Linked DNA regions of Ovis aries. The main gene of each other region encodes a partner of the protein of the gene in region 3 in a complex. Links are inferred from orthologs where the notes say so. Each region holds a gene or a part of one and is shown on either strand. Other genes may lie near its edges.

Region 1 (2,748 bases), on a different chromosome or scaffold from region 3:
GAATGAATTAACTTGTTTCCTATTTTATTACTAATTCCAAACTAACCATTAAAAATTGGTGCTTTTACTAATTCATTAATTACCCAGACCTGAAATTGTAGGGCCACCTGTGATTCCTCTCTCTCCTTCATTTACCAAGTTCTCTGTTCACTTTCTCTTGACTCTGTCATCAGCCTAGTTCAGGCCTACCTGGACTTACACAAAAACCTTTGCTGGTACGCATTTTGCTTCCAGGCAGCTAAATTAATCTTTCTTGTTTCTTCTGTCTTGTCATTTTTCCTCTTCAGAAATCCTGAATTTCACCTCCACTGCCTTTTGTAGTTTAATTCATTCTTTCTCTGAAATTATATTCTTGTCGTTTGAGTAACATCAAAAAACTAATTTATGGGCAGGTCTGATGAGTGACTGGGTAGGCTGAGAGTAGTGGGTGAGGGGTAGTGAGGATCAAAGAGTGAGCAAAGAGGTAGTAAGTCACTAACAATTAATTGGTTGGCCCTGAAATAGGATCTGAAATCCAGATTTCAAGAGAGTAGTGTGTGTTGTGCTTTAATAGGCCTTTAGGAAGCACACTGTGTTCAAGGTCTCCATAGAAAACAACCAAATAAAATGTTTTATATATTACAGTGGTTGGAATAAAAACAGGGTTGAATGAGTTCCAGAAAGCAGGGTTCTCAAACCCGTGGACACCAATCTGCCGAAGAAGACAATTTCAAAAAACCAACTAGAAGCAATATGCAAAGAAGTAAAATGAGAGGGTCCTCTGGAAAGAAGACAGCTGGTCCCCAGCAGAAGAATCTGGAAGCAGCACTCCCAGGCAGATGGGGGGGTCGCTCTGCTGAGAATCCCCCATCGGGGTCGGTGAGGAAGACCAGAAGGAACAAACAGAAGACCCCTGGGAATGGAGATGGTGGCAGCACCAGCGAAGCACCCCAGCCACCTCGGAAGAAAAGGGCCCGGGCAGACCCCACAGTTGAAAGTGAGGATGCTTTTAAGAATAGAATGGAAGTTAAGGTGAAGATTCCTGAAGAATTAAAACCATGGCTTGTTGAGGACTGGGACTTAGTCACCAGGCAGAAGCAACTTTTCCAACTCCCAGCCAAGAAAAACGTGGATACTATTTTGGAAGAATACGCCAACTGCAAAAGATCACAAGGCAATGTTGACAACAAGGAGTATGCAGTTAATGAGGTGGTGGGAGGGATAAAAGAGTATTTCAACGTGATGTTGGGCACCCAGCTGCTCTACAAATTTGAGAGGCCCCAGTATGCCGAAATTCTCTTGGCTCACCCTGATGCACCAATGTCCCAGGTTTATGGGGCACCACACCTCCTGAGATTATTTGTAAGAATTGGGGCAATGTTGGCATACACGCCCCTTGATGAGAAGAGCCTTGCATTATTGTTGGGCTATTTGCATGATTTCCTGAAATACCTGGCAAAAAATGCTGCGTCTCTGTTCACTGCCAGCGATTATAAAGTGGCTTCTGCTGAGTACCACCGCAAAGCCCTGTGAGGGTCTACTGACCACTCGCTGTTACGTCTGGTATCTGTAAACGCTCTTTTTGTTCTTAGTCTTTTTTCTTGTATAATTGATACTCTTTAAAATCGTTAATGTATAACAGGGCTTATGTTTCAGTTTTCTGTTTTCTCCTAAACAGAAAATAAAAGGAGTGTAAGCTCCTTTTCTCATTTCAAAGTTGCTACCAGTGTATGCAGTAATTAGACAAAGAAGAAACATTCAGTAGAACATTTTATTGCCTAGTTGACAACATTGCTTGAATGCTGGTGGTTCTATCCCTTTGACACTACACAATTTTCTAATATGTGTTAATGCTACGTGAAAAATGCCCTGATTCCTAGTGCCAAAGGTTCAACTTAATGTATATACCCGAAAACCCATGCAATTGTGCTTTTTTTTTTTTATGGTGCTTGAAGTAAAACAGCCCATCCTCTGCAAGTCCATCTATGTTGTTCCTTAGGCATTCATTCTATCTTTGCTCAAGTTGTTGAAGGATGGTGGTTTGTTTCATGGTTTTTGTATTTGAGTCTAATGCACGTTCTAACATGATAGAGGCAATGCATTATTGTGTAGCCATGGTTTTCCGGAGAAGTTGATATTTTAGGAATCGTATTTCAGATCTTAAATAAAATTTGTTTCTAAATTTCAAAGCAAGCAATTTGCAGTGTGTCTTTAATGTTACTGAGCCTGAGAAATCAGCAGGCTCAGGAAAGACCTAGATGGTACTAAAGGAGAGAGTTCCGACTCTTAGTGAAAGAATTCCTTTTATTGTTGGGTGTAGCAGCTGGGATGCACCCTGCCAGGTCAGCTTCTCTTCTCTCCCCTCTGTGTGGCTGCTCAGGGTGGGATTGCTTTCTACTGATGCTTATAAGAGCCACTTTTGTTCCTGAGGCCCCTTGTCTCTATGAGTTGGGCTAGTATAATAGGATATTTAATGGGTGCTGCAACACTCCTTTAAAGTTAGGGAGAGCATTGCTGTTTCCCACCAGAGGAAGCATGGGCAGCCACCTCCAGTATTAGACATACTTGTAGATTTGGGAACAAGGATGGCAGCTTTTCCAGCTCCAGCATTAATGCCATGTTCCCAATGCTTCAATAAACCCTTGGACATAAGATTGGGAATCCTAGAGTTAGGGAGTCTGTGGAGAAGAGGGACAGTGTTGGACACCTGTGACGATAAATCTGTCTTCTGTGAAAATCCCCTAGTCAAACGAAGTTTTGCTTCACAAC
Region 2 (2,684 bases), on a different chromosome or scaffold from region 3:
CGGCCCCCAGGACCGCTTTATGGGAGCCACAGCCAGCTTCAGCAGCTTCACCGTGTGGGGCCTGGAATCTATCCCTGGTCCGGATGCCAAACTGCGTGGGGCCCTAAGCTGGCCCAGCCTCGCTGCAGCGGTGAGTAGATGGATGGGCCCTCTCCCTCCCAGGCTTTATCTAACACCGAACCCACCCCCCCCCACCCCCGGCCCCACCCCAGCCTGAGTGAATTTGGGGCTGGGGCGAACAATGGGGCAGATGGAGACCCAGTCTGACTGGAGGATTAGACTGGGTAGGGACAGCATGGCTTCCCCAGCACTCTTCTCTGGCCTTCTAGAAGGGCTATGATTCTGAATATCTGGGCCACCCAGTCACTATACTGCAGAAATCCAATAGTAGAGGTGATTCCTGTTGCAGATTCACGCACAGGTACCCGAAGACTGAGAACCAGAGCTTGACATTGAAAGCCACCGAACCCCTCACCCCAGTGTGAAGCCAGAGTCCTTCACCCAATAAAGGAGCTTTTCACAGAACCTGTGAGTTTGCCAACACTGCCCCTTCTCCCACAGAACCTTCCATAGCTCTGACCTCTAGGAACAATTTATTGCCAGGGGGCAATGGGGCAGAAGAGGCCATAATTTTGCAACCAGTACCCACCACACCCCAGCTCCTACTTTACAAAAGAAATTTGTACAGCCGTCAGTCCTCTGTACAAGGCACCCCACCCACCCCTCTTACTATATACACAGCTGCCTGGCTCCCTCTGGTCCCTGGTTCACAGCAGGCCTGGGCCTGCAGCCAGCTGACCGTGGAGTTGCCATGAGCCCTGAGCTCGCCTTGGTGCTGGGCACCAGCTAGCCTTGACCAGGCCCGTCCTCTCCTTTTGGAGTGGTCCTCAGCCCTGTCTCCCTTGGTGTGCCTCTTGGAGACCCTGCTGGGGGCGAGATGGCTGCCAGCTTCAGTTCTGCTGCCTTTGCTGGCATTCCCCGGGCAGCGTCCGGTCACCACTTTCCCCTCTTGCTCCAGTCCTTGGGAGTGAAGTGCAGACACTTGGAGTCGATCCGAAGAAGCCGTTTGAGCATAGCCCGTTCGTGCCCATCCACGATGTCCTCCGACAGGGTGAGGATATACTGGCCCTGGACGGGAGATGGGGCCAGGCAGGTCAGCTCAGGCGGGCCTGTACTCGGGATCCCTGCACACACCTGTCTCCCCCTGCCTGCCTCCCTACCTTGTAGTAGTTGATGAGGTTGAGGTACTGTAGAGTGGATATGACATCCTCCTTCTTGATGCTGGTGATTTCACTGATCTCACTGTGGGAGGGCAAAGATCAGGTCCCCTGGGGGCCTCCATCTCTGCCCAGGCCCCAGTAGCCCAAGGATTGAGAAAGCCCGGGAACAGAAGGTCATGCCATGCACCCCGGGGTAGGCAGGGCCAGGCTCACTTGATGGTGATCTGTGGCCTCTCCCCGCTCTCTGACTTCAACCCCATCAAGATCTCCAGGATGGTCTGGGACCAGTAGCTTCGGTAGGACAGGAGGCCAAGGTCCGAGAGGGGCTTCTCAGGGGTCCCCGTTTTCCCTTCCACTTTGGAGAGTTCATAGCCTAAAGCAATGGAGCAGGAGGAGGTGGATAAACGATCACAGTATTATGCCACTAGTGTCTTAAGAACGCAGGCGATCGGGCAGACTGCATGGCCCCGTCTTGGGCCTGCCACGTGGTGGTTCTGTGGTCTGGGTATGTGGCTTGTCTGTTCAGTGCCTTAGTTTGCTCTAAAGGACTAGCACGCCTACTCTTCAGCTGTGTGCTGAAGCTACAGTCAACCAGGAGCCAGCAAGGGCTTACAGGTGGGACGGGGAAGTGCAGAGAATGGCTTGTGGAAAGAAAGTGCCTCCAGTTTTCCTCGGTCCTACCACACTGGGTATGTGAGGAGAAAAGTGGGCCAGGCCCCACCTCTGGTCCAGGCCTGAGGATGCTCAGATTCTCAGTCATAACAGTCCCCCAGCTGTGAACAGAGAACCATCAGCGGCTCTAAGACCAGGCTGGGTGGCTGGGAGGAATTAAGGGGAGTGATGCCAAAGCACTTCCCAGTCAGAGGAGGCCATTCCTCAGCAGTAACTGCCTTTGCCAGGGCGCTCTCCCTCCCAATTCTACTGCTCTGCCCTCCTACGCGGGTGACCACTGAGCAGGCAGTTCCTGGTGAGACCCTCAAGCCCTGCAAAACCCTGAGCAGTTTCACATCTGTTGGACAGAGTCATTTTTCCCATCAGGGCCCTGAGATGTCTCCACTATTTCTAGAAGCCCTTCTTCACCCTCAGTCATCACGAGCCTTGTGTTGGAGCGTAGCCTTTCTGCTTTCCCCTTGATACGTCTTTATTAGCCAGTCTGACCCTCTTGCCCAACCTCCTGTGACTTCCACCAAAAAGCCTGGTGGGGAGGACAGAGAGGCCTCTGCTTTGGAGGCAGGAAGCAGGGAAGAGAGAAGGGGCACACTGGAGTTCTCACTCAGCTTTGCTGGGCAGGTGTGCGTGCAGAGTCCTGACCAATCAACTGGAGGCCACGCTTGCCTCCTTAGTGGCAGGGACTCCTGGCCCCTCCCAGTGAATACCCCCTGCCCCCAGGAGCTGCCTGAACTGGTGCTTCTGGTATCCTGTCTGCTCCTGCCAGGCACAGTGAGCACGTCTCCTTGGTGGCCC
Region 3 (3,656 bases):
CATGATACACAGAAAACTCAGGGACCCAGAGGGGAACCAAGTTATGTTATACCATTTACAAAATACCAGGGAGTCCACGGCTACCTAACACATTTACTACAGCACAGGAACCAATGAAGGTACAGTGTACAAAAAACTGTAAACACGGCACAATAAATAGAGAAAACAGCAGGTTCCGCACCATGCACATGATGTGATGACACTTCATCTCGATACAATCTCACATCTCACACTCTTTGTTGCAATTTATTTCCCTCCCACCCCCCCGCCCCCAAGTGCAAAGCATCACAAATGAACATTTCTGTATTCAAGTAACGTATATACAAGGGTATTACAAATATGCAGTACTGTACAGATAATTGCTGTATTCTTAATTTACAGATGTTGATTTTTTTTTCCTATTAACAGTAAGAAAAGAAAAGTTGAAGCATGAGAGATGAGCACTGCTGTCGAGTCCCCACAGCTGCCACAGAAACGCATGTGCTGCATTCCACCATCCCTTGCATTTGAAACGCTCCCGATGCATAGCACCTAGTCAAGTCCCCAGGCTGCGGCTCCGCTCCTGAGGAGCTACGTCACCTCCATCGCCACTGTGTTGTCTGCTATGTTGTTTAGTGCTGGCTTTTCTGAGTCATGATTTTCCCTGTTGAAGAAAAGAGGGCAATAGATTACTTCTCTGCAGTCAACTTAATCAATCGAGATGATCTTCCCAATGAAAGGTCTAGATGTTTTCAATAACCGAAAGAAATCTGACTCTTTTGGGACAGGACGGCAAGCAGAGGGCTATAAACCCTGATGCTTTATTATCAGGGGCACAAGACCAGAAGTTAGGCTTGTGCTGCACATTCCGTAAGCAACTACATTAGCAGTTAAGACTGGAGCAGCACCCAAGCAAGCTAGATGGGAAAACGCATAAAGAATAGCCACACTTTAGCGTTTCAATTTCCTCCTTGATTAGGCTTTTGCTAAGAATTTTAAAGAGGAGCGAAGTGAATGAGGGTCATTCACATCAGGCCTTCAAGTCTGGTTCTTTCCCCACGTGGAGCTGAGCAATCAGAAGACCAGGGTCTTAGCCACTCCAGCCCTTCCACTGTTCTTAAGTAAAAGCAATCATTTATTGACTAGCTTTAACTACACCCAGAATACTAACGAAAATGGGATGAGTCTCCAGCAGATGACGACCACTTCTTAAGCTCAGGGGCATCCCCAGTGGTTCAGTGGTAAAGAATCCACCTGCAATGCAGGAGATGCAGGTTTGATCCCTGGGTCGGGAAGATCCCCTGGAAAAGGGGATGACAACCCTCTCCAGTATTCTTGTCTGGGAAATTCCACAGACAGAGGAGCTGGCGGGCTACTGTCCATGGGGCTGCAAAGAGGCAGACATGACTGAAGCAACTGGGCACACACTTAAAAGTTCAAAAGGAGAAAGGATGCTTGGGTCAGAAACTAATAGCTATAGTCGGCTGCTACAAAGCTTGCCCCCCTGCCTGGGGCCACTCCCAGCTGAGGACATCTATGGATCAGCCTGGCATTCAAGACAAAGTCCAGTCTCCTCCTACCACTAACCTTTCCAAATCTCTAGACAGACTAGTTACCTGTTAACCTCCGGTCACATCTGTATTTCCCTCCCTTTCTCCTTTTCCTCTTTGCCCAACCAAGATGAAATCTCATTTTCTAGAACATTCCCAGAATACCCTGGGTGTAAAAATATATATTAAAATTATAGCCACAATCTATACAATTAATGACAAGCATATAATGCTTTGTGATACTGCCAGAACAATTTTTACCTATTACCTACAATTCTATTATTTAACTTTTCACACTTTTATGCTTGTCCTCTAACTAAACTGAAAACTCCTTGTCTTTCTCTTATTTTTTCAGCAAAGTATTTTGTAGACAGCAAGATTTTAATTATTGTTAATATTTAAAACAGAATAGAGCCTGGGCAAACATTCTAAACCATCTATTGAAACCTAAGAAAACAAGTTGGCACAGTATAAAATAACTGATTAGAAGTTGACCTGGCATGAATACTATAACCCTTTACATTGCTTACAGTATTCAGAGCAGCTTAGTGACTAGCCATGGTGGGTTCTATCAATTCTGTCCACTTGAAAAGCTGTGGAAGAAATTATGAGCAAAAGAAACATTCTACAGAGAACTCCTTCCATCCAAAGGTGGAATAAAAGGTGAAAGTACTATAAGCTCTTTTTTTTTTTTTTTTAATAAGCTCTTATTATACAAAGAAAATGATGTCCCAATTATAGATGCTATGTTCACTATATGCCATTTAGTTCAAATTCTCAGCAGTATGTAATTACAACATTTACCTGTTTAGTTCTTACAAAAATAAGGAATTCTCATCTATACATTTTTAACGTATATAAGGAAAAGAGCAAAAAACATAGGGAATTCTCTGGCAGTCCAGTGGTTTCACTGCTGTGACTCGGGTTCAATTCCTGGTCGGGGAACTAAGATCTCAAAAGTCACAAGGCATGGCCAAGAACAAACGAAAACCTCCCCAGAAAACCAGAAAGGAAAAACAAAACACAAAGAAATAAGTAGAGAGCAGTGCCAGAGAACTTAAGCTAGATCTCTTATTTTCAACACTCCGAGCTTCGGTAACTACTCACCGTGGGACGGCATCCACAGAGGATGACGACGGGACCTTGGAAACTTGACAGTTTGCTGCAGCAGCCAGCTTTAAGGCAGACGACGGGACAGCACTTAAAGTCCTAGGTATGTGTCGTGCATTTATAGGGGTGATAGAGTTTACAGTGGCAACTGATGAAGGTACAGTCAATCGAATGTTGTTCCCAATCAGAACCTGAGTTGTGGCGGAGTTGGCAGCGGTCGCCGGGTGACCCGGCGCACTGTGGGAACCCGCAGTCTGGGTCACGCTTGCAGGCTGCAGCAAAGCCGGCCCTGCTGTCGACGGACTCGTGTGGACAAGTGCTGTGGGTGCAGTACTACTGAGGTGTAAGCCCTTGTATACTCCTAGGGAAAAGGAAAGATGCAGCTCAACAACCGCAACTCTGCTTTGGGTTTATCACTGACGTAGGTCACAAAAACAATCACGTGCTGACACGTCTCTCTCCCTACCTGAGGCTGGAAGGACGCCGTTCACCCCAATTCCAAGCACCACATCCTCCTTCATCTTGAATCCCATCAGTTGTTCCGATGTCACCAAAGCAGAAGCAGCAAACTGAGCACTAGCAGAATCCAAAGTCTTGGACACAAAACCCTACAAAGGAAAACACAGAGCAGAGCTAATCAGCACCACTTAGTTTCCAACGACTATTAAGCTACACAGCTATATGCCAAAATCAGTCCGCATACAAACGAAAGTGGCAAACCACTGAAGTATCTTCATTTCTTCTTGACAGTCATAAATCTGATTAATGTTGAGGTCATCTTGTAACCCGAGGATTATAACGTTAAAAAATAAATTCTTTTTTGCTGTACATCGGATTTTGGACCTTAGTTCCCAGGGATTGAACCAACACTCCCTGCATTGGAAGGTGGAGTCTTAACCACTGGACTGTCAGGGAAGTCCCAAGGATTATGGATTTTGATCTTATGTGACAATATATAATATGAAATTACCAAAATAAACCTTTAAAATGTGGAAATGGTAAACCTCCAACACAAAG

The links.
Region 1: EPC1 (region 3) and MORF4L2 share a complex: the UniProt entries of both Homo sapiens proteins name them as parts of the nuA4 histone acetyltransferase complex. The link is inferred for Ovis aries from reciprocal best matches to the Homo sapiens genes EPC1 and MORF4L2.
Region 2: EPC1 (region 3) and KAT5 share a complex: the UniProt entries of both Homo sapiens proteins name them as parts of the nuA4 histone acetyltransferase complex. The link is inferred for Ovis aries from reciprocal best matches to the Homo sapiens genes EPC1 and KAT5.

The regions. Positions count from the first base shown.
Region 1 is NC_056080.1:129,260,964-129,263,711, reverse strand, and holds the end of MORF4L2 (mortality factor 4-like protein 2), read left to right. Parts: intron 1-624; 5' UTR 625-648; coding exon 649-1,512; 3' UTR 1,513-2,172; downstream 2,173-2,748. UniProt on the Homo sapiens protein: Component of the NuA4 histone acetyltransferase complex which is involved in transcriptional activation of select genes principally by acetylation of nucleosomal histone H4 and H2A.
Region 2 is NC_056074.1:40,324,797-40,327,480, reverse strand, and holds the end of KAT5 (histone acetyltransferase KAT5), read right to left. Parts: intron 1,594-2,684; coding exon 1,434-1,593; intron 1,303-1,433; coding exon 1,221-1,302; intron 1,129-1,220; coding exon 994-1,128; 3' UTR 577-993; downstream 1-576. Other genes in the region: RNASEH2C (ribonuclease H2 subunit C), read left to right, coding at 11-217. UniProt on the Homo sapiens protein: Catalytic subunit of the NuA4 histone acetyltransferase complex, a multiprotein complex involved in transcriptional activation of select genes principally by acetylation of nucleosomal histones H2A and H4.
Region 3 is NC_056066.1:32,594,087-32,597,742, reverse strand, and holds part of EPC1 (enhancer of polycomb homolog 1), read right to left. Parts: intron 3,248-3,656; coding exon 3,106-3,247; intron 3,001-3,105; coding exon 2,637-3,000; intron 644-2,636; coding exon 571-643; 3' UTR 1-570. UniProt on the Homo sapiens protein: Component of the NuA4 histone acetyltransferase (HAT) complex, a multiprotein complex involved in transcriptional activation of select genes principally by acetylation of nucleosomal histones H4 and H2A.